Oryctolagus cuniculus: one gene and its partners. The main gene of each other region encodes a partner of the protein of the gene in region 7 in a complex. Links are inferred from orthologs where the notes say so. Each region holds a gene or a part of one and is shown on either strand. Other genes may lie near its edges. The genes, in order: SAP130, CIR1, MORF4L1, MTA2, DNTTIP1, MTA3 and HDAC2.

What was found.
Region 1: HDAC2 (region 7) and SAP130 share a complex: the UniProt entries of both Homo sapiens proteins name them as parts of the mSin3A corepressor complex. The link is inferred for Oryctolagus cuniculus from reciprocal best matches to the Homo sapiens genes HDAC2 and SAP130.
Region 2: HDAC2 (region 7) and CIR1 share a complex: the UniProt entries of both Homo sapiens proteins name them as parts of the histone deacetylase complex. The link is inferred for Oryctolagus cuniculus from reciprocal best matches to the Homo sapiens genes HDAC2 and CIRSR.
Region 3: the proteins of HDAC2 (region 7) and MORF4L1 are in contact, whole or in part, in a cryo-EM structure (PDB 8C60), measured with the Homo sapiens proteins. The link is inferred for Oryctolagus cuniculus from reciprocal best matches to the Homo sapiens genes HDAC2 and MORF4L1. Residues at the interface, in NP_001518.3 of Homo sapiens: Gln93, Arg94, Asn96, Ser146, Glu147; in NP_996670.1 of Homo sapiens: Pro355, Glu356, Arg359, Lys360.
Region 4: HDAC2 (region 7) and MTA2 share a complex: the UniProt entries of both Homo sapiens proteins name them as parts of the nucleosome remodeling and deacetylase (NuRD) repressor complex. The link is inferred for Oryctolagus cuniculus from reciprocal best matches to the Homo sapiens genes HDAC2 and MTA2.
Region 5: HDAC2 (region 7) and DNTTIP1 share a complex: the UniProt entries of both Homo sapiens proteins name them as parts of the histone deacetylase complex. The link is inferred for Oryctolagus cuniculus from reciprocal best matches to the Homo sapiens genes HDAC2 and DNTTIP1.
Region 6: HDAC2 (region 7) and MTA3 share a complex: the UniProt entries of both Homo sapiens proteins name them as parts of the nucleosome remodeling and deacetylase (NuRD) repressor complex. The link is inferred for Oryctolagus cuniculus from reciprocal best matches to the Homo sapiens genes HDAC2 and MTA3.

Annotation. Positions count from the first base shown.
Region 1 is NC_091434.1:118,436,374-118,440,291, forward strand, and holds part of SAP130 (histone deacetylase complex subunit SAP130), read right to left. Parts: intron 1,982-3,918; coding exon 1,860-1,981; intron 1,306-1,859; coding exon 1,003-1,305; intron 1-1,002. UniProt on the Homo sapiens protein: Acts as a transcriptional repressor. May function in the assembly and/or enzymatic activity of the mSin3A corepressor complex or in mediating interactions between the complex and other regulatory complexes.
Region 2 is NC_091434.1:66,821,237-66,824,420, forward strand, and holds the end of CIR1 (corepressor interacting with RBPJ 1), read left to right. Parts: coding exon 1-43; intron 44-1,529; coding exon 1,530-2,244; 3' UTR 2,245-2,573; downstream 2,574-3,184. UniProt on the Homo sapiens protein: May modulate splice site selection during alternative splicing of pre-mRNAs. Regulates transcription and acts as corepressor for RBPJ. Recruits RBPJ to the Sin3-histone deacetylase complex (HDAC). Required for RBPJ-mediated repression of transcription.
Region 3 is NC_091443.1:105,825,046-105,828,963, forward strand, and holds part of MORF4L1 (mortality factor 4-like protein 1), read right to left. Parts: intron 2,502-3,918; coding exon 2,476-2,501; intron 2,079-2,475; coding exon 1,990-2,078; intron 811-1,989; coding exon 709-810; intron 1-708. UniProt on the Homo sapiens protein: Component of the NuA4 histone acetyltransferase (HAT) complex which is involved in transcriptional activation of select genes principally by acetylation of nucleosomal histones H4 and H2A.
Region 4 is NC_091432.1:8,953,029-8,957,479, reverse strand, and holds the start of MTA2 (metastasis-associated protein MTA2), read right to left. Parts: upstream 3,081-4,451; 5' UTR 2,667-3,080; coding exon 2,639-2,666; intron 1,962-2,638; coding exon 1,894-1,961; intron 1,554-1,893; coding exon 1,460-1,553; intron 1-1,459. Other genes in the region: EML3 (echinoderm microtubule-associated protein-like 3), read right to left, coding at 3,414-3,844, 3,925-3,945, 4,303-4,401. UniProt on the Homo sapiens protein: May function as a transcriptional coregulator. Acts as a component of the histone deacetylase NuRD complex which participates in the remodeling of chromatin.
Region 5 is NC_091442.1:13,583,507-13,587,424, forward strand, and holds part of DNTTIP1 (deoxynucleotidyltransferase terminal-interacting protein 1), read right to left. Parts: intron 3,847-3,918; coding exon 3,788-3,846; intron 3,690-3,787; coding exon 3,629-3,689; intron 552-3,628; coding exon 480-551; intron 1-479. UniProt on the Homo sapiens protein: Increases DNTT terminal deoxynucleotidyltransferase activity (in vitro). Also acts as a transcriptional regulator, binding to the consensus sequence 5'-GNTGCATG-3' following an AT-tract.
Region 6 is NC_091433.1:160,050,062-160,054,484, reverse strand, and holds the start of MTA3 (metastasis-associated protein MTA3), read left to right. Parts: upstream 1-1,442; 5' UTR 1,443-3,341; coding exon 3,342-3,369; intron 3,370-3,872; exon of another isoform or gene 3,873-4,033; intron 4,034-4,063; exon of another isoform or gene 4,064-4,082; intron 4,083-4,423. UniProt on the Homo sapiens protein: Acts as a component of the histone deacetylase NuRD complex which participates in the remodeling of chromatin.
Region 7 is NC_091436.1:57,413,420-57,417,799, reverse strand, and holds the start of HDAC2 (histone deacetylase 2), read right to left. Parts: upstream 2,902-4,380; 5' UTR 2,497-2,901; coding exon 2,445-2,496; intron 1,537-2,444; exon of another isoform or gene 1,394-1,536; intron 1-1,393. UniProt on the Homo sapiens protein: Histone deacetylase that catalyzes the deacetylation of lysine residues on the N-terminal part of the core histones (H2A, H2B, H3 and H4).

The DNA of each region.
Region 1 (3,918 bases), on a different chromosome or scaffold from region 7:
GGAGCAAGGAAACCAATCCAGGTCTCCCACATGGTATGGCAGGAACCCAAGCACCTGAGCTACCACTGCAGCCTCCCAGGGTCTGCATTACCAGGAAACTGGAGTCGGGAGTGAAGCCAGGAACGGAACCCAGGCACTCTGATGAGGAATGGGGTTGTCTTAACCAGTATCTTGACTGCTAGGCCAAATGCCCACTGCCACAATGATAACTAAGATTAATATTCCATCTGATAAAGTCTTTTAACTACATCAGAAAAACAGCTAATCAATATTCCATTCACAGTGATTTATTCCATTTTCCAAAATGCCTATTCCACTAGTATTGTTTTTTTCAGATTTATTTACTTATTTGAAAGGCAGAATGACAGAGAGACCTTCCATCAAGTGGTTCATCCTTCAAATGGCTGCAACTGCCGGAGCTGAGTCAGGCCAAACCCAGAAGCCTGGAATTCCATCTGGGTCTCCAAGTTGGCAGGGGCTCAAGTACTTGGGTCATCATTTGTTGTCTTCCCAGGCACATTAGCAGGAAGCTAGACTGGAAGCAGAGGAGCTGGGATTTGAACCAGCACTCTGATATGGGATACAGGCATTGCCAAGTGATGCCTTAACCTGCTCTGCCACAATATCCACCCTTGTATCTCTTTTTAAATGCACTGACATCATTAGCTAACATGAGGATAAGATTTCACACTTTACATATAACTCTGAAGATCTAAGATGAATGAGAACACTACTTGTAAGGTGAATCTGCCCCATAAACTAAGAGATTTTTATGGAATGCTTCTCATTATTGAGCAAACATTTATATCTGTTTATATATGTTAGTCTGAATGTTTACAATGTCCCTGACGCTAAGTTCTAAGTGACTCATGTTACAAAGAGGAAATTAAGGCCTACAGAAACTTCTCAAGACCCCAAAGTCAGCAAGCGGCAGAGCCAGATTAAAACCCAGGTTTATTTCCCTACCCTATGCCACTTTTCATACAAAAAAGTTAAAATTACCTGAGGTCTTTCCTTCAGGTTGTGGCTGCTGAGCACCCATCGGAGCAGGCTGAAGACCCTGTGTGCTAAGTGGGGTGGCTGAGTGAATGCCCTGGGTGCCAATTGGTGCAGGCTGGATCCCTGGCGTCCCAATGGGTGCTGGCTGGATGCCCTGCGTGCTGATGGGTGCTGGCTGGATCCCCTGGATATGTCGAGCATGTGACGCATCCACTGTCATCAACTGCATGGGGTTTAGGTGGACTGTAGATGCTACTCCAACACCAGTCTGAGCTGTGATGGCAGAGTTTGGAGCCTGAGCTGAAACTAAAAATGATGCAAAGTGTGATTAAAGGTACTAGTGGCACAATCTGAATGACTTTCAAATGCCCAAAGTTAGCCAAGGATCCTACAGGAAAAGAATATGCAAACTCTGAGACTTCCAGACTGCTTTTCCTGGATTAGCAAAACACTACTTCTAAGTCAGAATGGTGATAGCTAAACATAATTGCACTAAAATTGAAAACACATAACAGTATCTCACAAAACAACAGAAGATTCCTAAGAGTATAGCTCTATCCATTCTACCTGTATACAAGTTTAAGAACTAACAAATATTATTTACATGATAATCCGCAGGGTGGGATAAAACTATGCAACTATTACCAACACTACCTTTTCATATGATCTTTTCAAAGATCATCAACATGGTGATTTAAGCCCTTATACAACCTTCAGATATGTTAGCCTTATCTGAATCTGGAAATCTGAACCTAGAATAATTAATTCCCATACTAGAAATAAGGCCTAATCAATTTGTATCTCATTGCTAGCAAAAAATTAAAATGCAAAGTCATTTTAAAAGTGGGACTTGTTTATACCTGGATACTGTCGGATAGTGGACACCGAACTGGTAATTGGGGTATAGGTGTGTGCTGCCAGTGGATATGCAGAAGGAGGGTAAGTTGGCAAAAAGTACTGGAACTGGACAGGAACAGAAGGTCTAGGGATGGAATAGAAACAGTGTGAAACAAAGTGGTTACTGGTTCTTTGCCTTTAAATGTCCCTCCTCACACCATTCGTAACTGCCCTGAGATTCTCTCAAACCGTGTCTTCAAAACTCTTAGATCAAAGGACAGACTGTAAAAATAAAAAATAAAAAAAAATAAAAAAAAAGTGAATACAGCAAACAACCACATGTCAATAAATCTAAAAACAGATATTTTATGGATGCTTTTTGAAAAGAACATTTACATTTAACAAAACTGACTCACACAAATTCAGTAATGAAAATCTTCCGTGTTCAATTCTACAAATTGTTTTTAATGCCAAATTTTGTCAAATATATATAAAACAGATAATCCCAACCTCCTACAAATTGATTCAGAGACCAAAAAAAGAAGAAACAAAATCTAACTTATTTTTTGAGATGTGGCCTTAGCACTAAAACAGGACACAGTATGAGAAGATAATAAACAAATCTCAATTTTCACTGTACACTGACACAAAAATAACTACACAGAATTACATTAAGGATTATATAGTGGTCAGCGCTGTGGCGCAGTAGGTTAAAGCCCCGGCCTGCAGTGTCAGCATCCCATATGGACACCAGGTAAAGTCCCAGCTGCTCCACTTCTGATCCAGCTCTCTGCTATGGCCTGGGAAAGCAGAAGATGGCCCATGTCCTTGGGCCCCTGTACCCACATGGGAGACCTGGAAGAAGCTCCTGGCTCCTGGCTTCAGATCAGCTCAGCGCTGGCTATTGCGGCCATTTGAGGAGTGAACTAGCGGATAGGAGACATATCTTTCTCTCTCTCTCTCTCTCTGGCTCTACCTTTCTATGTAACTGTCTTTCAAATAAATAAAATAAATATTTTAACAAAAAAATAAGATCATATAAAATTAAATACATCATGACCAAATAAGGTTTGTCAAGACAAGAATGATTCAACATTATAATTTCCATTCATGTTTTAGATGATATTTAAAAAATCAGGGGAACAATCACTTGAAATGTTGCAAAATATATGCACAAAATAATTGATGGCATTTCAATATTTATTCATGATGTAAATGCTTACAAAATAGGAATAAAAACTTCGAAAATGTTATCTACTCAAATCTACAAAGGAATTTCAGACGAATTTCCAGTCACTATCTTTAATTCAATAACATTTAATTGGAAACTCTATCCAGCAAAATAACAGGTATAAAAGATGAAAACACCTTCTTGCCATGCCCCCAACTGTCCTTAATGATATAAACATCTATATTAGAAATCCAAGAGAATCTATAAAACTTCAGAGTAACAGGAGTATTTGGCAAAGGGGGATCAGCATAATACTAATATATTAAAACCTGTAAATATTCCTACACACAATAATAAAAATGATATTTAAAAATCATCTGGGGAACTTTCCAGAACACTGAGGTGGGGAATAGTGCTGCCTGCTCAGGTTGCACAAGTACATGCTCCTTCCTTCGCTTCACACTGGCTCTACCTGGCTCACTGGCTGAAGAAAATGGTTTAAAAAATCACTTACTATGATGTTTTGGGGGTTCAAACCCATTATCACTCAGGAAGAACTGAAAAAAGTTAAAAGTTGGTCTTAAAAATACCACCTTTGATAGAATGACAAATGCCCTAAACAACACTCTGGCCTCAGAATCAGCCCTTAAGGCATTTGGATATGGCTAAAGTGCCCATGACAGCATTTCAGGCAAGGAAAGCCAAGACACTGTGGCAAAAAATGGCCTACATGAAAGATCTCTGTGAGTGAGAGCCCAGTGGAAAGAAGGGACCATCAAAGAAGGAGGTACCTTTCTCTGAAGGGAGGAGAGAACTTTCACTTTGCATATGGCCCTGTCTAAATAATGACAGAGTTTGTGGACTTAAAGGCTTCTGTAGCCTTGGCAGCTAATGTCAAGAGCCTCGAGTGA
Region 2 (3,184 bases), on a different chromosome or scaffold from region 7:
TTTTAAAGTCTCTAACAACCAAACAAAAACAGAAGCTTCTCCGGTAATTAGGAATTTATATTCAATGGATTTATTTTTTCTTTATGTTTCATCATAGCATCATATAACCCTAATCATAAGAGCTCATGAAGTTCCTTAAACCAGTCATCACAATTATTGGTTTATTATTCAGCAATAGTATTACAAATCTTCCTTTTCAGTGATAGGAAAAGGAGTGTCAGGTTATATGTTCAGATTATACCACAAAACTGTTGCACTTTTTAGAACATGGTATTTGGAAATAGACTTATTTGTACATTAGTATATTTTTTGCACACAGTTTTCAGAAAATGAGTATTTGCTCCTCATATTATACATGACCCCGTATGTTTGGGCCATGTAGTTTCTAACTTTTTTCAGTTTCATGAGAAATACTGGAAGATTGCTTAAATCGAGGTCAGTACAGATGTTGTTAAACAGATGGCCTCTGGAGTGAAGAATCTAAGACATGTCCGCTGCAGCCCATAGAGGGAGCTCATGATGTCTTCAGTGTGCAGTTCTGAGCGTGCTTGGAGAGAGCCAGTGAAGACGCTGTGATTTCACAGTGCCAGAGACTGCGATGTGCTCTCTAGGCATTCAGAATGCCTTAATATGGTTGTCCTAATTATTTTTAGAATTAAATAATTGTTGAAAATTAGTATGTGAGTAATTTATATAACAAAGTATCAAAATTTTAAAATACGTTCTTATTCAGAATTTCTGGAGCATGTACTCTTAAATTTTGGTAATCAATGTTGATTAGTTTCCACACTTTAGTCATATATAAAGTTAATTTTTCATCTGATTATAGCTGTATATTTTCAGATTGCAATAAGTGCAACTAGTGTTATACAGATCTTTCATAGGTTTTCTTTAGACTAACATGGCCATTTATTTACAGTGCTATCGTTTCAAATTCTAGCTTACTAACAATGTGATTTTTAAATTTTATTTCTTTATTTTAATTTTTTCGTTGAAAGGCAGAGAGAGATGACAGAGATAGATCTTCCATCCATTGGTTCACTCCGTAAATGCCCACAAATACAAGGGCTAGGCCAGGCTGATGCCAAAAGCCTAGAACTTTATTCAGGCTTCCCACATGTATGGCAAGGAGCCAAGTTCTTAGACCCTTACCCGCTGCCTCCCACTGTACACATTAAGCAGAAAGCTACAATCAGAAGCAGAGCCAGGACTGATACTGAGGCACTCACCAAATACCTACCCCACAATGGCTTTTTAAAATAGTCATTACTATGACTATCATCAGTATTCTGATGAAGTATACTCAGAGACTTGGCTTAATGCATTTAATTTTTTAGTTTAAACTTCATGTATACAAGTCTGGAATAAAACGAAAATGATTTGTCATTTAATAAAGTAAATAGCATGTTTAGATATGGGTACCATTTTTAGTAGCTCCTGAGAAACTAAAAATTGTCTATGGACAATTCTGTCGTCGTTGCTGAAAGGACAGTTTTTCACAGTCTGCACCTCTTTCTTCTCTATTACAGGAAATTGGATCGGCTTGAGAAGAAAAAAAAGAAAAAGACAAAAGATAGAAACAAGAAAAAGCTTCACAAGAGAACTAAACACAAAAAACATAAAAACAAATCCTCTTCTTCCTCCTCCTCCTCGTCTTCTTCTTCCTCCTCCTCCTCCTCCTCCTCCTCCTCTTCCTCCACTGAGACTTCAGAAAGCAGCAGTGAGAGTGAGAGTGACAGCAAAGGGAAGAAAAGAGAAAAGAAGAAAAGAAAGAAAAACAGGTGTTCCGGGAATAGCAATGATTCTGAAGAGAAGGACAAGTCTAAGAAGAGGAAACTTTATGAAGAACTTTCTAGCAATCACAGCAAGGAAAAAGCCAAGGAAAAGCTTGGGTTTTTAAAACAGGAGCATTCTGGGGAGAGTAGCAAACGGGGCCATTCTGATTATGACAGAAAGGCCAGAAGCCATAACCATGGCCCAGAAAAGAGAAGATCTGAAAGACACGAGGGGAGCAGCAGAGGCCACAGCAGGGATGAGAGGAGGAGGAGCCGAAGCCGAAGTCCTGATGGTTACAAGCAGAAGGAGACAGGAAGGCAGTCACAGTGGAGTCCCAGGGAAGAGCGGAGTGGAAGAAATGATGCCAGAAGCCACGGCACACATAAACACAGAGAAAACACAGAGAGAGAGCACTCAGGAGATAAACGGACAAAAGTGACACAGCGGCGAAGCAGGAGTAGAGAATAAAGAGAATGTGTGTGGCAATCACCTGGAAACAAAACCGTCTCCATTTTCTCACTGAGTACCTTTTGCAAGGGCTAACTTGTGTGCTATGTGTTTCTAATGAAAAAAAAAAAACTTTTAATTTTCCATTTCTGTAACTTGTCATTTCAAGTATAAAACTGTATGTGCACTGTAAGAATGAATTTTGCAAATATTTATAAGTAATCTGAGGGCTGTAGAAACAATTTCTATTGGTAACTGTTTTTTGAGCCCTGTCCCAGATAAAAACCCCATATAACTCTGTGACATTTCTTTGTTCTGAAATATCATTAAAAGAATGACAGTACATTGAATGGGTATAATTTAATTTTCTTTTTTAAATTCAAATTTGTGATTTTACAACTGACTTTTACTTGAAGCCAAGTACAATCATTGTTGGAATTCACTAGTGTGAACTAAACAGTGGCTTGATCAATATTTAAGACTTTGAAACTCCCCTCAGGTGTTTTGTTCTACAGAGTAAGCTACAGGGTATACATTTGGATGATGTGTTTGTGTGCTGCCATACACATTACCTCAGAGGCTCAACAGGACAAATGCATCATCTGAACGGTTTCGGAGATCAGAAGTCTGACGTATCCTTGGGCTACTGCAGTGTCAGCTGGCCTGTGTTCCTCCTGGAGGCTCCAGAGGAACATCTGCTTGTTTATTAATTCCAGCTCCTGGATGCCGTCTGCATGCCTTGGCGCCTGGCCGCCTTCCACCGTTTCCAGAGCTAACAAAGCAAAGTCAAGTCCTTCTCACAACTAATCACCCTGGCACTTCGACATTATGCAGCCCTCTTCCAGTTATAAGGACCCCCTGATTACACCAGGCCTATCTGAAGAATCCAGGGTGATCTCCCTATTTTTAAGATCAACTTACTTGCAACCTGAATTCCCCCTGTCCGTGCAGTGCAACATTC
Region 3 (3,918 bases), on a different chromosome or scaffold from region 7:
AAACGTTGACACTTGTCCAATCTCACAGGTAGAAAAGGAGTTGGAGAGATACTTAATCTTGGCAGCTTAGCTGTAACCAAGACCCATCCTTAAAGAGTTCAAATCAGGACTCAAACTTTAAGTCCACATGGTGTGGATGAGCGAGTCTCTCAAGTCACCATCCCCAAGCAACCTCTACTCTCCATTCCTAACCCCAAATCTCTATGTTTCTTTTAAATTGCTTCATTTGTCCTACAGAATTCCTCATGTTCATGAACGAATTCTTTATGTTCAACATGCTCCTCCTCTACTAAACATTCCCATTCCTGAAAACCAATAATTACACATAGAAGATTGATTAGACTCAGGTTCTTTTGGAGATCATGAAATCCACTTTGTAGGTGGTACTGAGTGCTTTCTGTCTGCATTCTACCACCCATACATCGGTGAGGATATTCCATTCTCAGTGTATACAACCTGTTCTGCACTTATCAACTCTCAGAATCATTTCTGACCTAGCAACCCCCGAAATGAATTATCTTCACCTTTTTCTAAACCATTAACTCATAAAGCCAATATATTTTGATAACTCTTCAGTCTCTGAACTAAATATTATTCATCATATTGTAGAACTTCAAGTTTATTTTTTTTCCTTTTTGAAGTAACAGAAGTGAGTGGCAAGAAAGAGCATGAGCACACAGATCACCATCTGTGACGTTTTCAAGTTACCTGTTTTTGTCTTGTAATTAAGTCCCAGTCATCAACAAGCCATGGTTTGAGCTCTTCAGGAATCTTTACTTTAACTTCCACTCTGTTCATGAATGTTTCTTCCTAAACAGAAACAACAACACTATCAGAAACCCATCTTTTCTTGCTGAAGAGTAACTCTAGACCACAGGGAAATTTTGACCTTTAAGGACACTAGGAATAGATCAAATGCTTGCAGATGCCAAATATACAGGCAGAACTGTCCATTTAAAAATAGTACAACAGTACAAAAGTAAAAAAAAAAAAAAAAAAAAAAAGTAAATAAAAAATAAAAAAAAATAGTATAAAAGTAAAGACAAAAATCTTGGGGGAAGGGCTGGCACTGTGGCATAGCAGGTAAAGCTGCCTCCTACAGAGCCAGCATCCCATATGGGCGCCAGTTTGAGTCCAGGCCGCTCCACTTCTGATCCAGCTCTCTGCTGTGGCCTAGAAAAGCAGAAGATGGCTCAAGCACCCTACACCTGCATGGGAGACCCAGAAGAAACTCCTGGCTTTGGATTGGCCCAGCTCCGGCTGTTGCAGCCATTTGGGGAGTGAACCAGAGGATGGAAGACCTCTCTGTCTCTCCCTCCCTCTGTATCTCTGCCTTTCAAATAAACAAAATCTTTAAAGCACAGAACTTAGAGGGTTTCATGGCATCTCTTTTGGGTTCATTAAAGCATCTTGGATATGTCTCGAATAGGTCACTTAATATGACCTAAAAAAACTATCCTGTCCTCCAACACTGAAGAAATACTTGATCTTGTGTGTAAACACGAACTTGTGGCCGGTGCCACAGCTCAATAGGCTAATCCTCCGCCTGCGGCGCCGGCACCCCGGGTCGCTCCTCTTCCTGTCCAGCTCTCTGCTGTGGCCCGGGAGTGCAGTGGAGGATGGCCCAAATGCTTGGGCCCTGCACCCCACGGAAGACCAGGAGAAGCACCTGGCTCCTGGCTTCAGATCAGCGCAGTGTGCCGGCCGCAGCGGCCACTGGGGGAGTGAACCAACGGAAAAAGAAAGACCTTTCTGTCTCTCTCCCTGTCCACTCTGCCTGTCAAAAAAACAATTTTAAAAAAATTAAAAAAAAAAAAAAAAACACAGAACTTGTACAGTAAACCCCTGATGATGAAGTGATGAAGTGTGGAAGTCGAGAGCTATAGGTGAAATTAGGATTTATATATATATATAACCTCTACCCAAGGGCAGAAAGGAGGAAGGTTGTGTCTGACTGAAAATTCTAATAGTTACACAAGAAAAACTCACATTTTCAACAGTAGGATCTACACGGGCCCTTTTCTTCCGAGGAGGCTGAGGGGTCTCACTAGTACTGCCGCCATCTCCATTTCCAGGTGCTATTAACACACGGGTGTTGGGCAGAGGTAGGGGGATTTTGTTTAATAACTTTTTAAGAAAAACAGCCTATGACAGATCCTGTTACTTGAATCTAAGTTAAAAAATTATTTTCAGTGAAAGCTTAACTTTTAGGATCAGCTCCACCAAACATTATATAAGCAACACAATATCACTATGTTCTATCTATTTAAAAAAGTTATCTTTTCTGGGGAGTCATATATTTAAATCTTTAACAGTTTCTCATCAGCATAAGGATCATCAGACTTAGGTCTCTCCCACTGTGTATCTATCTCAACACTGCTGTGACACTCATTTGCGACCATCAAGAAACATACACAGCAAATTAAAAGATGTTATAATGGTATAAATCAATATTAAGAGAGTTAACATTCTTACTTTTCTGTTTGTTCTTTTTGGTTTTCCTAAAAGAAGAAAAGGAGAAAAAAAATTCAGTAAAAACAGCCTTTGTTCAGATCTCTTTTATCACAGTTAAATTCAAAGGTAGACTACCTTGGGTAAGATGAGGCAGTAAAAATTAAAAAAAAAGGGGGGGGGGGGGCTGTTCAGAAACAAGGATTTTTATTAACAGAATAACCCAATACATGGATGATAATTTCTACCAAAGTTGTATATTTTAAAAGTATGCAGTTTATAAGAGTATTACATTAAAGTTTACATTACTAATTCTACCAAGAAGCTTCAGTTTTACTTTCCCTACTGTTTTTGTTCCCCTTCCCAAAACATTAATTTTGTTTATAGACTTGCCTGTCTTAAACAGCAATGTTACTCTACTCTCATTGGTTCAAACTTAACTTTCTCTTCTCTATAATCCTTCCATTTAAATATTATACCCTCTTCTACCATATCTAGAACAAAGCTGATGTCTCCTTCCTATGTTATTATCTTTAGTAAAAACTCATGCCTTTTTGTAGTCTATCATATTACCCAATTAGCTATAGCTGTTTCGAGAACCCAAGAAAACAGCTGACAAAGCTTTGATTATGGATTACTTTTGTAGGCTCATTCCAGAACACCTGAATTTTACTTTACTATAGTTTTAAAACACCAGGGGTGGGGAACATCCAAGCCAGACTGAGGCCCACAGAATCATTTGGTCTGACCTTGCTGAGGCAATTGCAGGTAAAACACAGAATTCAGTAAGTCTATAGCAGGCTACTTTTTAAGCTGATAATGCTATATGGCCCAGAAATGATGTTTTAAACATCCAAATGGCCCTTGGCAGAAAAAAATGGTTCCCCATCTCTGTAAACGGGGCCAGCGCTGTGGTGCAGCAGGTTAACACCCTGGTCTGAAGTGCCAGCATCCCACATGGGTGCCGGCTGAGATCCCGCTGCTACACTTCCGATCCAGCTCTCTGCTGTGGCCTGGAAAAGCACTGCAAGATGGCCCAAGTCCTTGGGTTTCTGCACCCACGTGGGAGACCCAGAAGAAGCTCCTGGCTCCTGGCTTCAGATCGGCGCGGCTCTGGCCATTGCAGCCAATTGGGGAGTAAACCAGCAGATGGAAGACCTCCCTTCCTCTCTCTCTGCCTCTCTTTCAAATAAATGAATCTTTTAAAAAAATAATAAACAATGTATGTTATGAATTATATTCATTTAGTCTTGGAACTCATTTTTCAACCCAAATTAACTTATAATTGACTTTAAACATAAGAAATATGGCTAGCCTACGTACAGGATTATACCTGCAAAGCTCTAGATTCACTTTTATAACAAACATTTGTTAAAAGCACTCAATCTTTTACTCTATAAATACTGACAGCTTATCTTACCTCTGCAATATAAGATAGGTGGACTGTTTGTTTCAATGAATCCCTAC
Region 4 (4,451 bases), on a different chromosome or scaffold from region 7:
TGGCTCAGCTGTTTTTCTCACATTCTCCCTGCATCTACCTTCTGTTCTCTTATCCCACCAGCATTTCTCTATGCCCTGTTCACAGATGCTCCCAACTCTCATCACTAATGCCTTAAGGAAGGGCTGCTGAGTACGAAGAATGCTGCAGGAAAGCATCCCAAACCCAGCTGCCAATGCTCAGACGTCACTCAGAAAGCAGACACTGCCCACACCAGGCCCATCACACTGTCTCTTTTTTGCTAAACCAGCCTAAGGTCCAGGAACCCAATAAGATGAAAAAAAAAAAAAAATGTCACACAGGTTGTGTTTACCAGTTCCTCTTTTCAGATTTCAGGAGACTCTGCTCTCAAACATCACATGCAACCCTAACTATCCCTCACTTTCTACTTGGCTAATAATAGTTTGTGGGGCTTTCAAGGACAACACCTCTCAAGCCAGTGCCAACACCTCCCTCAAGGAGCTGCAGCCTGCCTTGAAACCTTGGTGAAAAGGGTTAACCTGGCCGGGCGCCAGTCAAAGTGGGAGGGTGCAGGAGAGCCTCAGGCTCAGGCTCATTGGTGCATTGTTCCCCGACCTCGGGGAGGGGGGGATGGGGAGGGGTGCAATATGCTCCACCCCTTGCCTGTGTGCTCCGGAAACCCTGTGCTAAGGCAAAGGGGACCACACCCCCCACACCCTTTCTGATTGGACAAGGCCAAGGTCAGCCCCTGCCAGAGGAGGCTGGAAACCCCAAAGGCCCAGGGAACTTCGTAAGCCCGCCCGGCTCTCCTCATTAACCCCTTCAAGCCCAGTGCAGCCTTTAAAAAGGAAAATAACTTAGACAAGAGGAAGAGGAAAGAAAACCAAAGCAGGAAAGGAAAAAGAAGCCAAGGAAAAAATGAAGGCAATACATTTTCCAAAAGAAAATGAGAGCTTAAAAGGAAGGAAGATAAGGCAAAAGGAAAAAGGAAAGAAGTAAAATGGAGTAGAGGGGACATGGAAGAGGTGAGAAACAAGAAAAAGTGCAAGAACACTTTCCTGCCATATCCTAACTTCCATTCTCTCCCTTCACCGCGTTCGCACCACCTCGTGATTATAAAGTAAGCCTGCTTCCCTGCTGCACAGGCTTCTCAGTACAATCTCTTCCTTCTCACCTTGACCCTCAGACACCCCTCATTGTCTCAGTGTACTCAAAACTCTACCCCCCCAAAGTGTCCTGCTTCTCTTCCTTACCTCCTATGTAAACACTATCATTTCTGTCTCTCTCTCACACACACACACACACATACACCATAGTCTGGCTTTCCTTATCATGGTCTCTCCACCCTGCTTCCAACCCCAACGTGTAAAAACAGGCCTCCCTCCACAAACCAGGCACTTCCCACCCCCAAAACTCACACCCCTGCTTTGGGCATGCTACCAGGGGAAACACCTGCAGGGACATGCCCAGATGGCAGGAGGAGGGGATGAAGACACTCACTGGCATTACTATCGGCCAGGCTGTTGAGGCTACTAGAAATGTCCCTTCGCCGGAAAAGACAGACAACCTTTGCCTCCACATTTCCATTTGCAGTCTAAGAGAGGGGAAAAAAACGTAGCAGTGAAAATTGGTTATCTGAAAGTGGAAATGCACAGAGCCTAACAACATGGAATAAATTTCTAAGGGACCTAAGTAAAAGAGCTCAAGAAATTATAAGGATTTAATTCAAGGACAGACTTCCAAACCCCTTTCCTTTGCACCCGAGAGACAGATGAGGAAGACTCCCACTAAGCTCTCAATAGCCTGTCCTGTATGCACCCAATGAATGAATGAATATGAATGAGCACTCAGGTTAGTGGCCTCTCTTCCACCCGAACTTAGAGACCTCAAAGGAGCCCACTTGGGGGATGGGGAGGGGGGTCTATTCCACTCACCTTGTTGAGCTCCTCAATCCGTCTAACCAGGTAAGGATTGCTGGAGGAGTTCTCAAAATAGACGTAATCTGTAGGAGGGGGTGGGGAAGAACGGGAAGATGGGACAGCCAGTCAGGGTAGGAGGAGAGAAAACCGCCCGCGTCGACCAAAAGTGGGTAAGGGTCCAGGCAGGGGAGGCTCGAGTGTGGACAGGGGCAGACTAAGATGCCTCCACCTTGCCGCATCGGATTCTAAATCACACCCTTCGCTCAAAAGTGAGCCTTCAGGAAAAGACAGGCAGCAGTTTCCCCCAACTCAGCGATGGAGTTGCACTCCAGCCCCGGCGAAGTGAACAATTGTTCGCTCCAGCACCCGGCCCCCGCCTTGGCGGAGCGAGGCGCACAATAACGCCCAGGGAGAAGAAACCTCAGGCTGCTCCCCGCAGGTAGCACAGCCGTCGCCGCGGGCCCCCCGCCCCCGGGGCCCCGTCCCTATCCTGTCAGCTCCTTCGGAACCAGTTTCTCAAGCCCACTCCCCGCCCCAGGGGCCCGCGGTGCCGCACTCCGAGTGCCGTCGGGGCTGCCCGCAGCCTCTCCCGACCCCCGGAGCCCGGCCGCGTCGCGGTCCCCGCACCCTCGCTCCCCGGGCTCCCGGTTCCGGTTCCGGTCCGAGCTCCGGTCCACGCCGCCCCAGACGCGGCTCCCTGCGCCGCCGAGTGCCCGGCCCCCCCTGCCCCGGGCCCCGCGCCCCTGCGCCCGGTACTCACCCCCCACCCGGTACATGTTGGCCGCCATGGCCGTTCCCGCCGCCGCCTCCGGCCGCACAAAGGGGTCCGGGAAGCTCGCGGGGGCAGGGCTCGGCTCGAGGCGAAGCCCCGAGAGCCGGGCCGGCGCTCTGGGAGAGTCTTCCTGGGGTCCGCGCAGCCGGCGCCTCCGCTGCCTCAGCCGTCGCGGTTCATCCCGGCCCGCGCTGTCGCCGCCGCTGCTGCCGCCTCAAGCCCGGGACGCCGAGGCCGGCGCCGGTCCGCTCGGCTTCTTCCGGAACGAACTCGGCTCCTGCCGGACCGGAGCCAGGCTCCGGCTAGCCGCCCCCCCACCCCCACCCCCGACCTCGACCGGTCCCACCAGACGTTGAGCTCCGCGGGCCCAGGGGAGGCTAGCCCTGCCCGCCTCGGGATTCGCCTTCTTCCGGAACACCTTCGGCTGATCGGAGAACAAGGCCCGGCGCTCGGCTCAGGTCGGAGAGCAAGACCCCACAGATCGGCTACTTCCGGAATGAGCTCGAGTGGCTTCGGCCAACCGCGGCCCGTCCCTCGGTTATTTCCGTTGCAGCTCGGGACCGCCCCCTCCCCGAGGGCGGGGGAGGAGGCGGGCTTAACCCTTCCCTCGCAGGAGTCTGCGGCTCCGCCTGACGTCCCGCAAGGCGCGCGCGCCCTCGCGCTTCGCCGGGCGGTCTGCAAACAGCTTTGCCTACCATTTGCATGAACGGCCTACGGGCGCTTTCCACACTCCTCTTCGCCTCCATCCCACCCCTCGGGGTCCCTAGGGCACCCAGCTGCGCCCCACAAAAGCACAGGGAGGCGACTCTGGTTTTGGTTTATTGCCCCTCAGCAGGCAGCAGGAGTCAGGACCCAGGCTGGGGCGGCCCGGCTCGGCCAGCGGGTCCCTACAGTGTGTGCAGGGGCGATCGCCCCCCGGGGAGATGCGCACTTGGGAATGTCTCGAAGTCGAGGAAAAGGGGCCGGCCAGTCGGTCCGGTCCGGCAGCGATCAGACGTCCAGAGAGGAGGCGGGGGACAGGGACGGGGTCCGGGAGGGCGTGGCGGCCGCCGGCCCCGCGCCCCCAGCGCCCAGCACGCGCCACTGGAAGATGCTGGCGTCCTTGCCGCCTAGTGAGACGAGGTACGAGTCGTCGTGCGTGAACCGGACGCTGGTCACGTGGCTGCCGTGGCCCCCGTACACGCGGCTCGGCGCCTGGCGGGGAGGGGAGGGTGAGCGGCAGCGCCGTCCGGGCCCGCCCTGGCCCGCGCCCCCGGCGCCCCGGGCAGCCTCACCTTGGCGCGCGCGCACGGGTACTGGAAGAGGTGCACTTTGCAGAAGTCATCGGCCACAGCCACCACGCGCTCGTCGTGGGAGCGGCACAGCGAGTTGATGTCGGTCCCGTCGGAGCCGTCCGGCCACACGCCTAGCACAGCGACGGCCTCAGCCCGGCCCCCTGCCCGCCACCACCCGCGGCCCAGCGTAGCCCCATCTCTGGCACTCGCTGCCACCAACAACCGGCCGCCTTCCAGGCAGTCCTTCCTGGTCCCGAGGGCGAAGGGGTAGGGGGCCCGTGGGCTGGGTCCTCCGCAGGTTCTCCGAACACCCGCCCGGCGTGCCGAGCCCACAGCGGGCTCCACCTCGTCCCGCTCGGGCCCCCCACCCCTGCTCACCGTACACGTGGAAGCCCAGCACGCAAGTGTAGGTGGCCCATTCCCTGTCTCGGCTCTCATAGCGATTCCTCAGCAGCTTGCAGCCTCCAGCCACGTCCCCTGGGGAGACAGCCGGCCCAGCTCAGCCCACCCTGCCCGCAGCTGGAAAC
Region 5 (3,918 bases), on a different chromosome or scaffold from region 7:
GATGTTCCTAAGGCTGTCGCTTGCTGTGACCTAGAACTCTAATCAGAGGCGAGTCTGGAAGCAGCTGCCAGGGGTGGCAAACACAGCTACCGACAGGGTGCTGGCTGGTGCGCTGCACTGAGAGAAGATCCTGTAGCTGTGTTTGGGGGAAGGGTGTTGTGACTGATGAGTAAGATCACTCAGTGGCACACGAGGGAACAGTGGTGTGGAGTCTTTCACCCGTCATTCCTATGCAAGCTAATGTGATCCAATGTGTGGTCCAAATACGAAGGCTGGGTGGAAGCGTGGAGGGAGAAAAAGGGAGCCCTAGTGGCAGGGAAAGGAACCTGGGGACCATGGAGAAACAGGCCTTAAAGTCTTCCTTCCCACACGTATCAGGCTTTGGGGGTCTCCAGATTCGGAGAGGAGCTGTCGCCGACAGAGGGAATCTTGGTCCCTGAAGGTGGCCTCTGGCAGTGGCGCGTGGGAACAGTGCTTACCATCTTCCCTCCTGTTGCCCGCATGTGATGTTGCTCAGCCAGCCAGTGCTTGTCCTGGGGGTCAGCTGCATACTGTGGAGAACAGCGTGAAAGGGGAGCCATTAGCCTTGCAGTTCTGATCAGTAAGACCCAGCCTGGTGGACGCAGAAGGCCCAGTAACCCCTTCAGAGCAAGCCAAGCCAAGCCCAGGAGGCCAAGGCATGGGATCCAATTCCCTGAGACTTAGTACACTTCTAATCCCCCTACTGCTTCTTTTCTCGAAACATCTCCCTGGCAACCAGTGGGACAGGTGACCATTACTTTAGAGCCTCCTCTTTTTAAGATTTATTTATTTACTTCAAAGTCAGATTTACAGAGAGAGAGGGAGACACAGACAGAAAGATCTTCCATCTGTTGGTTCACTCCCTAAATGGCCACAACTTCCAGGTTTGGGCCAGGCCAAAGCCAGGAGCTTTTTCTGGGTCTCCAACATGGGTGCAGGGCCCCAAGCACCTGGGCCACCTTCTGCTGCTTTCCCCGGTGCATTGGCATGGAGCTGGATCGCAAGTGGAGCAGCCGGGACTGAAACCAGCACCCATGGGACGCTTGTGTTGTGGGCAGAGGCTTACTCCACTATGCCACATCACCAGCCACTACAGCCTCCTTTTTAAAGTTTTATTTCATCTATTTGAAAGGCAGAGTTACAGAAAGAGAGAGAGAGGAAGACAGAGAGACTTTCCATTCACTGGTTCACTCCCCAAATGGTTGCAATGGCCAGGGCTGGGCCAGGCAGAAGCCAGGAGCTAGACTGGACGTGGAGCAGCCAGGATCCAAACTGGCACCCACAAGATGCTGGCACTGCAGGTGGGGGCAACCTACTCCACTGCAATGCTGGCCTCCCCTTTTAATAAATCATCTGAGGTGGCTTGCAACACCTATGATTACGATTATTACTGCTTCCCAAAGGAAAACCAGACCACAACATGTATGAGCTAAAAATAATAAGCAAAATATCCCACAGGACAAGGACACACACACACGCCCATATCTGTGTTTATGCTCTGCCATGGCTGCGGGTGGTCTGGAGTGGAGGGCAGTCAGGGTCAAGGGTGAAGGAACTCCAGTGTACTCGCTGAAGGTTTTTACACTAAGAATGGGGTCATATTTCTATAACTTAAAAAGTCTAAAAAAGGAAAAGATAAATTCAAATAATGTCTTCTGAAGGACAGAAAAATTGGGCACAAGATGTAATTGGCAGTTTCCAGAAGAAATACAAATAGATTCTAAATGGTTAAGAATGCTTATAATAGAGAACTGTAAAGAGAAAGGGAGTGGTGACTGGGGTGGGGGTGGGGAGGGTGTGTGCCTGACAAGCAAGGGCAAGGTCAGAAATAATTATCCATCAGGAATGAGAGTGTGGGTTGGGAGTTTAGTATGAATGGTGGGCCTTAGAACTGGAAAACTATGCTAACAACAATCAACCTCTACCGAGCCCGTGCCACGTGGCAGGCCTTAAGCCAGTGCTTCCCTGCATTCTCTCTTAATTGACACTAAAAGGTTGGTCTGCCACTCCCGGTTTACACACGACAGAACAATTCAGAACTGAACAGGAATTCAGACCATCCAAGATCCTATCTATAGATGATAACAAAAAAAAATCTCTTGGGGTATGTGGGTTTTTTTAAAACTATTTTTACTTATTTAGCTTAAAAAGATTTATTTATGTATTTGAAAGGTAGAGAGAGAGAGAGAACCTTCCATCCTCTGGTTCACTCCCCAAAAGGCTACAATGACCAAAGCTGGGCTGGTCTGAAGCCAGGAGCCAGGAGCTTCTTTCTGGGTCTCCCACATGGGTGCAGGGACCCAAGCACTTGGGCCATCTTCTACTGCTTTCCCAGGCATATTAGCAGGGAGCTGGATCAGAAGTGCAGCAGTCAGGACTCGAACTGGCACCTGTATGGGACACTGGCGATACAGGTGGTAGCTTTTACCCACCATGCCGGCCCCTAAAGATTTGTATTTATTTGAAAGGTAGAGTAACAAAGAGAGGAGGAAGACACAGATCATCCATCTATTGGTTTAATCCCCAAAAGGCTGCAATAGCGAATGTGAGGCTGGGCCAAAGCCAGGAGCCAGGAACTCCATCCAGGTCTCCCATGTGGGTGGCAGGAACCCAAGTACTCTGGCCATCAGTCACCGCCTCCCAGGCCTATTAGCAGGAAGGTCAACTGGAAGCATGGAGTACCTGGGAGTCAAACCAGACACTCTGTTATGGTGTTGCTGGTGGGCTAAGCAGCAGCTTAGCCCCTGCGCCACAACGCCTGCCCCTGAGTACCTACTCAGGGTCTTAAAGAGTAGTTGGGCAGACAAGGGTTGGGGAGGAAAACAGAACAGCAGGAGTGAAGACACCGAGAGGAGAGAGCGGCAGCAAGCTTGCCAGCCTCTCTAGATGCTGGGACTCCTAGGATCCAAGACTGGAGAAGAGCAAGCAAGTCTGCCAATTTGCACAGAGTGTGGCAGGTACAGTAATTCTGGGACCCTAACGGGGCTGGGAGCTTCTGGCAAGGGGTACCAAACTTTAGGGACAGGAACAAAAAATGTCTGGAACACACATGCGTTTCTATTTTTCTGTTCTTTTAAATACTTTTGTGGCTGATAAAATACACATTCATTTAAGACAATGAGTGAATTTGTGATTTCTCCTGTTATTTCCTCAAACAGCTGCTCCAGAGAGGAGTCCCTCCTTGGAAGAAGGGTAGAGCCCTGCCTTGCGCCACAGACAACTGAGTAAGGTAGGGGTTAAGAGCTCAGGCTTCAGTGTAGACAGACCTGGATTTGAATCCTGACTTGCTGAGTAACTCTGGGCAAATCACTTAGTCTTTCTTGACCTCTGCTTTTTTCAAATTTGTAAAATAAAGATAAGGGATAGTTCCAGGAGATAATGTGTTGTACTTAAAACCATGTTTGCCATACAATAAACATGTAGGCCAAGTAGCCATTGCTACCAGGGCACAGAGCTGTTGAGTAAATTACAAAAGGTACAGGGGAATGGCAGAAGGGACTCCCGACTCCCAGACCAGCGAGTGTCCCGAGCTTCTCCATGGCACGCAGAATTCCCACTGCCACCTACTCCAGGGCAGCGGCCCACCTGCTTCCCGGCACTCACTCACCTTAAAGAGATGTGGGTGCTTGATGTAGATTCTTCCTCTGGTGCCCCCCATCCCTAGAGCCCTGAAAAGGGAAAGACAAGTGGTAAAGATTCCAGCAGGCGCAACTCTAGTAGTAGACCCCCGAGCTGCCACTCCATCAGTGCCAAAGCTTAGACTCACTTGTTGGCTCGAGACCCCAACACAAAAGTGGTAGATTCATTCAGCCGAGCCGGGTCCCACTGCAAAAAACAGAGGCCGGTGAGGGGGGGTTTCATCTGGTGATGGGACAAAGCACTGCCTCCTGTCTTTTC
Region 6 (4,423 bases), on a different chromosome or scaffold from region 7:
TTATAAAGTCAGAGTGGCAGAGAAAGAGGGGGAGACAAAGAGAGACACACAGAGAGATAGCTTTCATCCACTGGTTTATTCTCCAAATGGCCACAACAGCCAGGGTTGAGCCAGGCCCCAGACAGGAACCCAGAACTCCATTCACGTCTCCTATGTGGGTGCAAGGGTCCAAGTACTTGGGCCATTCTCTGCTGCCTTCCTAGGTACATTAGCAGGGAACTGGATCTGAAGCGAAGCAACTAGGACTCTGCCGATATTGGATGCTGGTGGTGTTGGCAGCTTAACCCGCTGTGCCACAATGCCAGGCCCTTATCTATAGCTTTTACACAGCATCCATTTCTTTTCAGCTAACTGGTGAGATTCTGGAGTCCAACACAGGGAATGTCCTGGGGTTTCAGATAATCCCTTCTATAAACAACTTCTTCTTCCTCTTCCTCCTCCTCTTCCACTTCCTCTTCCTCCTCCTCCTCTTCTTCTTTTTTTAAGATTTATTTATTTACTTGAGAGGCAGAGGCAGAGGGAGAGAGGTCTTCCATCTGCTGGTTCACTTTCACTCCCCAGATGGCTGCAATGGCCGGAGCTGAGCCAGGGACTTCTTCCCCATCTCCCATGTGGGTACAGGGACCCAAGGACTTAGCAGGCCATAGCAGAGAGCTGGATCGGAAGTGGAGCAGCCAGGACTTGAACTCGCACCCCTATGGGATGTTGGCACTGAAGTTGGCCGCTTTACCTGCTATACCACAGCACTAGTCCCCCTCCCCTCCCCCTCCCCTCCCCCCCTCCCCCTCCCCCCTCCCCCCTCTCCTTCCCCTCCCTACCTCCCCCCTCCCCTTTCCCCTCTCCCTCTTCTTCCCCTCTTCTCCTCCTCCCCTTCCTTCTTTTTAAAGACCCGGAGCTTCTTCTGGGTCTCCCACACTGGTGCAGGGGCCAAAATTCTACTGCTTTCCCAGACCATAGCAGAGAGCTGGATTGGAAGTAGAGCAGCTGGGTTTTGAACTGGCGCCCATATGGGATGCTGGCACTTCAGGCTAGGGCGTTAACCCGCTGCGCCCCAGCGCCGGCCCCCTGGCATTTTTTCTTTCAGATATTGAGAACCTAGAATGTAGAGGACACTGTGTAGGAGCTGGAGGAGTGGGAGACACTAAGAACAACAGAATCTGGAGGAAGGAAAGAGTTCCAGGTCCAGCCGCCATTTCCCCAGTCCCCCTGCCCCCCAACCTCACCCCACAGATCTCTGAGGCCTTTCATGGGGGGCTTCTGGATAAATTGTTCCTAAGGGGAGGAGGTGGGTGTGGATGTAGGGAGTTTTCTTGGCACCTTTCACCGGTTTGTTGTTGTTGTTACAGTCATCACAAACACCTGGCAAGGAGCACCGAGCTAGGGAAGTGAGACTGGCAGACAAGGAACCAGCAAAAACACAGACATGGGCATGAAGGCGGAAAAATCACTCATTTATTAAAAACATAACGTGAAGACACCCTAAAGCTTGTGGTCTGTGTCTTTGCAATTTATGGTTTCCAGGTGACTTTTTCCCTGGGAGAAAGGCTTTATGGTCCAGAGCTTCCTAGGTCGGCAGAAGCGGCTGAATTACAATCTCGATCACGCTGCCAGTTCACTGTATGACTCCAGGTGAATTATTCCACTTATTTGTGTCAGCTCAGAAACGGAGAGAGTGATGTCGGATATGTCACAATATATTTTTGGTGGTATCTCCAGTAAAAGGATTATGATAAACAACAGCCACGCCATGTGCATAGCAGAATACTTTTGCTTTCTTTGCTGGGTCACAAGAGCTGACAGGGCTCACAGTTGACACATGGCATAAAACCCCTGGGAATCTGAGGCTTTCTGGGGTTAAAAAGAAAGCGGAAGACACCTGCTATTTGCTTGGTGCTTTCTGCTCCGGTTTACAAAGCATTTTCAGATAGCATCACAACGGATCCTTACCACCTGTGAGGTGGAGTTAGTGTCCCCATTTCATAAAAGAGGAAACAGGTCACGGAGTCAACCAATGTAAGGCAGGCAAAGTTGTTCATTGTTGTATTATTCTCACTTTGCTTCAGCTGTCCAGATAATTATTTTTTCACTTCAACATCTTTTGATTAGGGGCCACGGCACAAGATAAGGCAAACACAGACTTTTCTGGGAACACCTCCTCTTCCAGCATAGGCCTCAAAGTCACAGTCAACAGCCACACAGCTGTACATCACCAGACACTCCCAACAACCCGCAACCATCAGGGATCATTGTTGTGTTTATTCTGCAACAAAGTCTGGGAGTAGTAGATTGGCTTGCCTAAAAAAAAGTATTTGTGTTCACTTGGGGGATGGCCAGCTAAGACTCAACTTTATCTTTTTGTTCCGAGGGTGCCAAGGATTTGAAAACAAGTTGTCCAGAGAATTAGCATGAGAAAATGACCATTTAAAAGGTTCAGGCACAGAACTAGTTAACTGTCCATCATCAACAACCTGACAGTCTGACAGTCTCTCCTCCTGGGAGGTGGTGTGGGGAACTGTAGGGCCCTTGGACGAAGGGCGCCGCTAAGTCTTTTTTTTTTTTTTTGCAATGGGGCCTAGTTACAGACAGGGTCTCAGGGTGTCCGGGAGTGGGTTCTGTTCAGCCTAGTTCTGGGGTGAATGATGACGTCCCCGCCATCGCAGTTAGGGCGCACTTGGACGGCAGCCAGTTTTTCCAGTCCTGGCCCAGCTGGGTCTCTGACTGGGAACGCCTGGGGTCTGTAACAACCTTCCCAGAGGAAGGTGCCCTGCTGCCTGCACTTATTTGTATCCAAGACTTTGCAGCGAAGCTTGCACTGGTGCTGCCTTGCTTAGGGTCGCACATGCTGGGGCTCCCCGGGGACAGAGCAGGGAAGGAGAACCTGTCTAGCGGTGGGCAGGTGACGGGTTACTCAGGGTGGGGCAGGAAGCGCTCCAGGGAGGCTCAGCCTCTGTTCCCACCCCAATCTCCAAGGGCCCCCAGCCCGCAGTTGCCAGTGCAGGCTTCTGCGTCGGCCAGGACTGGGGCCCTGGGGTCCTCCACTCGCAAGGCCCCTCAGCCTCCCTCCCTGTCCCCCGGTGCCCGCAACCCGCAGCGCTGGGGCCTCCCGGGGCCTCCCCCAGCGCGGCCCACTCGGTTTCGCTCGCCCTGCGCTGGGGGCGGACGCCAGCCCCCAGCCCTCGGCGTCCCCTCCCCTTCACTTCCCCCTCCCCCGTCCTCTCCCTTCCCCTCCCCCCCGTGGCGAGGCGGCGAGGAGGCGGCGGCGGCGGCGGCGGTCGAGGCTGAGGCGGCGGCGGCGGCGGCGGGCGGGGCTCGGCTTGGGCTCCGCGGGCGGGCGGGCGGACATGGCGGCCAACATGTACCGGGTCGGAGGTAGGAAGGCTCGGCCCGACCCGGCCCGTCTTGGGGGCGGGCTGCGGGAGTTGGGGGGTCGCGGCGAGCGCAAGCTAACCGCCGAGAGTCCTGGGCGCCCGGGCTGAGGGCGCAGGGAGGGGGGCACCGGGGCCCTCAGAGGGGCCGGGCTCCCCACCCCCACCCCTCCTCCTCCCCCCACGGTGGCCCGCAAGGGGCCGGGGACCAGCAGCACCCCCATACCCTGTCCAGGTTTTTAGGAACAGGCCTCTACTGGGGGCATGAATTACCAGGCGCCCCCCTCCATGGAACCCACATGGGGGCAGGGCCCGTCGAGCCCCCTGACTGGGTGGCCTTTTCCTCGCGTGGCTTCTGGGTATTGGGGGCCGGGGAGGATGGGGGGACATCTTCCTCCTCCTCTCCTTCCCCTGCCCTTCAGTCGGAGAGTGGGGTGGGGGTGGGGGCGAGGGGGCCCAGCCAGGGTCCCCGCTGGACAGGCCTGTTGGCGGGGCCGGTTCCTGCACCTCGCCTTCAAAGCCTCCCCTTGCGTTTCTTGTCCGGCCCCCCAAGATTGGGGTCTAGCAGGGGCCAGGAACCGCAGCCAGAGGTGGGGAGTTGAGCTCTGCCCGGACGTTTGCTCTCCTGTCTGCCTCCTTCCCAGCCTTCTGCGGAAGAGAGAAATAAGGTCAAACAAACTTTCTCCCTACTCACGACGCCCTCCTCCCTCTTTCCTGGTAAAATAATAATTCAGATAAGTGGCGTGTTTGTGTGTGAGACGAGCTCTTCTCTGCTCGTTAGCCGAGCTCCTGATGGATGGTGGTGGGAATGGCTTGGCTAAATGAGGCCACTTTGCAGAAGAGAGAGCCGCTAAGATAGACAATAACAACGCAGTCCAGCCTCTCAGACGGACACACAGTGGGAAGTTTCCAGTGAGCCTATTAGATGAGAGGAAAAGCCACACTTGAAAATTTTTCTCCTTTTTTGTGGAAAGCCTGCAGCAGTTTTCTTTATACCAAAAACCTAAATGGACCTGAATTAAATACGGGGAAGGGCTAGGCTAGATTGCTGTGTCACC
Region 7 (4,380 bases):
TTTGAAAAGTAAGCAACTAAAGGGTCCATTCTAAAAATGAGTCCAATCAGAGCCACAGACAGAAGACCTACCTGACTGTCAGTACTGTTGGCCATCAATCAAGTACTGACTAACACAAATCAAGACTGTCAAACATCTTCCACTCTACCCAATTGCATCCTGCCCCTGGGACCAATGTCTGCCCCCACTCTCAACAAAGGCTTATCATAAATGGGCTGAGGAACAAACAGTTCTCAGAAAACTGCTACCCAAGCATACCTCCTGCTCCTACAGTTTAAGCCTGCTGACAAAAAGTTGCGAGCACTTTATTCCATGGACCCCATCACTGCCAACAGCAAGTGACAACTGACAGACACTGAGCACCACTTTCTGCAACTTGTTAAATTTTTTCCCTTTGTTCCAAGTCCTGCCAAAAAACAAATCTCTAAACTCTGGAAACAACCCCCGGGCTGTAAAGCTACAGCCTGCAACACTGGCATCCCATATGGGCACAGGTTTGTGTCCCAGCTGCTCCACTTCTGATCCAGCTTCCTGCTAATGGCGTAGGCAAAGCAAAGAGGATGGCCCAAGCTTTTGGGCCCCTGCTTTCCATGTGGGAGACACAGAAGAAGCTCCTGGCTTCCACCTGGCCCATCGTGGACAACTGGGGAGTGAACCAGTGGATAGAAGATCTCTATCTATCGCTCCCTCTAACTCCCAAATAAATATTTTAAAATAAAAATAAGGTTGTTACATTTCCAATTTAACTAGAGAAGGTAGGGGGAAAGGTTTTGCCAACAACCCAAATATGCAATAAAATTCATGTTAAAATGTACTCCCATCTCTACAGCCCCAGTATAATTTCAAATCAATTTGCAGTCCTTCAAAGGATACATTTTAAAACAAGGCTGTTCCTATTTTGTCCCAGGTATTATGGGTCAATTTAAATTTTTTCCCATAATACATAATTTCCCACAAATGACTCAGATGGCTATTTCATATAAAACTGGCATTTTAAAAAATGGGATCCTTGCTAAATGAAGGGGCACGGTTCTGCTGTTACAGCCAGGTTTATACTGACCTTAGCTACCTTTCTAAAGTTGTGATTTACAGTATACAATCCATAAGAAACGGCTTCTCACATCTGTATTCGTATTGCTTCCCACAATTAGGACTGTGAGATCACTCAGCCTGGCTTTGTTAAATTTCAGTACTCTTTCTCCCAAAGGGTAACCTATTAGAGTTCAGATCTTTGTAAAATCTCTTAAGCTAGTGTTCCATTTAGTGTAACTTAGGCTGGCACAGAACGCAGAATCCAGAGTTGTAATGTTACTGACGCTACTCTGTATTACAGAATCCCTAAAATTAAATAACCTGATTTTTATAATTCACCATACCGTGAGCTCAAGCTTACCTGATTAAACTCCTTAGTCCTCCTGCACTACTCCCTCCAGTTTTTCTACATCAGGATCCCCACCACCTGAGAACAGCCTTCACAAGCCAGATGCCCATGGTCCCCTACACCTCCAAAGCAGGGTCTACTTCCTGATCGAACAAAGAGCAACAACAAAGAAGTGGGTGGTAACCACCTCCCACACGGGCAAGCCAGGACCCATCGAGTCTGACCTACAACACAAGCAGGAACACAGCTCTTCATTTTCCTCTCTCGTTCGCCGCGCCAACTGCCAGCCTCAAACTCGAAATCCCTAATTGTTACGGAGGAAGTGGAGCCCATCAATTTGAATCCGGAGAAAGTGGCGCTCAAAGAGCCGGGTGAACAAAGGAGAGGGATGCAGCCCACGCAGAACACGGGGGTGAGGGCGCCGCACGCCGGACTCGGGTTCCCACTCCCAGTAACCCCCACTCCGGCATCGCCCCGGGCCGAGGGGTCCGGGGTGCGGCTGCCAGCGGAGAGAGAAGGCGCCCGGGCCAGACGCGAGCAGAGGGGCGCAAGCGGGGGCAGGGGCACCGGAGGGGGCTGCAGGGGCGGAGCTTTGCGGCCGCTGGGCTTTGTGTAGTCAGAGCCGGGGTAGGAATTTTGACTCAGGGGGGCAAGGATCGGGTGCGGGATGCCGGCGAAGGGGTCCCCCAAAACCGCGATGCCACGAGAGGCGGGTGAAGTGCCAGGGAGGGCCGACCCCCTCGCCACTACCACCGGCGGGGCTAGGCCAGTGTGGTCCCCACAGCCGGCCACCTTGGGGGCTGCGGGCCGCACGACCGAAGACAGAGGCAGAAAGCAAGCGGGGCGTTCCCCCATTCCCGCCCGCAGGGTCCGCAGGAGGGGGTCGAGGTGCAGGGTCTCCCGCTGGCCGCGTCGGGTCCGCAACGGGTTAAGATGCGGCCAAGCGTCGGTCCCTCCTCCTTCCCACCCCTCTGAGCCGGCACCCACTGGCGACGGCGGCCAGAGAGCCCGGCGCGGCCCCCGGCCCGGCGACCCAGCCCTACCCGCCCACCCGGCCTCTCACCATCATAGTAGTAGCAGACTTTCTTCTTGCCGCCTCCTTGACTGTACGCCATGGGTTCCCCGGCCACCGCCGCCTCCGGGCTCCGGCTCCTCCTCCTGCTGTGGCTGCAGCTGCCGCCGCGGCTCGGCGGAGAGAAAGGCTAGGGGGATGGTGGGGGATGCCGCCCCGCGGGGAAGGGCAGGTCGGAGGGGGAGGGTCCCCGGAGGGCTCGGTACAGCCCGGCCGAGGGGGCCGAGAGCGCGGAGCGGGGGTGGCAGCGGCGCCAACTCGCGACACTGGGGAGGGGGAGGGGGCCGCCAAACCACCTCCGGAGGCCGAGGGGAGGTGGGACGCGTCCACTGAGTCCTCCACGGGGGAGGGAGGGGCATGACCAGAGAAAGAGGCCGGTTCAGGCTTGGGTGAGAATCCTTATAGTGATGAACAGCTTGCGGGGAACAGCGCCATTCAAAGCCTTAAAATTATGAAAAAGGCAGGCTCCTCCTCAGCAATACCAAGAGAACGACGACCCTTGTGTGTGTTCCCACCCTCGGATCTTCGCGCAGTGGTTGCGCCTATCCCGAGCCTGCGCAGTCGGCGCCTGCTCAACCGTAGCCTTGGCTGTCTAGACCCCCTCGGTGTCGTCCCACGCTGTTCCCCTCCCCCACTGTCGCGAAGCTCCCGCCCAAGCCGACCACGTGCCGTGCGCCGGGCGGGGAAAGACCACTCACGTTCTCCTTCCGGGCCTTCGAGCTGCGGGGCTTTCGCCCGCGGCCCCAGGACGTGGTCGCATGGTTTTCTCATCTGTTCACTAATATTTCGGTTTTTTTTTGGCTTTTAAGTGCTCTGGACACTGACCTATTGTAAGCTTTCAAGGAAGAGTGTACCGCTTGGGTTTGAATGGACATTTATAAAATTCATTTGTGTGGGGCAGGGTTCTAAAAGTGTTTGCATTTAGAGTAGTGTTTCATTGATACCCACTTAGAATAAATGCTGCACTTTTGTAAAGCTTCCCTCCGATACCGGGGTGTAAGTACTATTTCTGTTTCTTGTAGTTGGGAGCAGATTAAATTGGCCCTCGCAGCTGCTGATAGTTGGGAGTTTGGTCTCCGTCTTTTTCCAAACTCCGTATACCCTGGCTTTTCCACGAAACTAGACACTGGATAGGACGCTAGGAGAAAGGATTTTCAAACATTTGGAAATTACAAATGCCTGTGACCCTGCGTTCAATAAATCAGCATTTATCAGGCACCTACCCTAAGCCAGCCACGTTGCTGGGAACAGTGAAGACAGCCCGCAGTGTAGCACTTGTTTCCTAAGTCATGTACAATACCTTCCCACGCTGCCCACATGCAGGCTGTCTCCCATATGCCCAGTCAAGAAAAGAGGGGAGTGGAGAGACCTGTATTGAAGCAGGAGCCGTTTAAAGTCACATTCAAAAATATTATTTTTATTTTTTTTCACTTTTCCAAATTGACAACGGTATTTATGATCGGAGCAGCAATTTTCCTGGACCACATCCCCATGAGATTTAGAAAAGGTGTGTCAAGGATGGCTCCTGCCACACCCTTCCCAACCCTTCTGTTTGTAGTTTTAATAAGACCACAGTTGGTGCAAGAACCCTGGTGGGAGAAACCTTGGCTTGGGTGCGGTTGATTATGTGGTATTGATTCAAGTGTTTATCAAGTCCAAAATTGGGAAAATTCTGAGATCAGAACAAGTTAACTTAGTAGAAGCTAATATTGTCCCCTAGAACCAACACAGTGAAAGTCTGAAATGATACTTTATTTCCTTCGAGAAGATTCCCCTAACCTGCTCTCCCCAAATATGTTCATGTGCCTTTCCATGGTGGTTATGCCTTGTGCCTCTCTGGCTCAACCTTTACCTCATTACAGTTGCCCACAGCTTGTCTGAATGTACCACTAGAATAATGGTTTCAAAAGAGGAAGGACCAAATCTG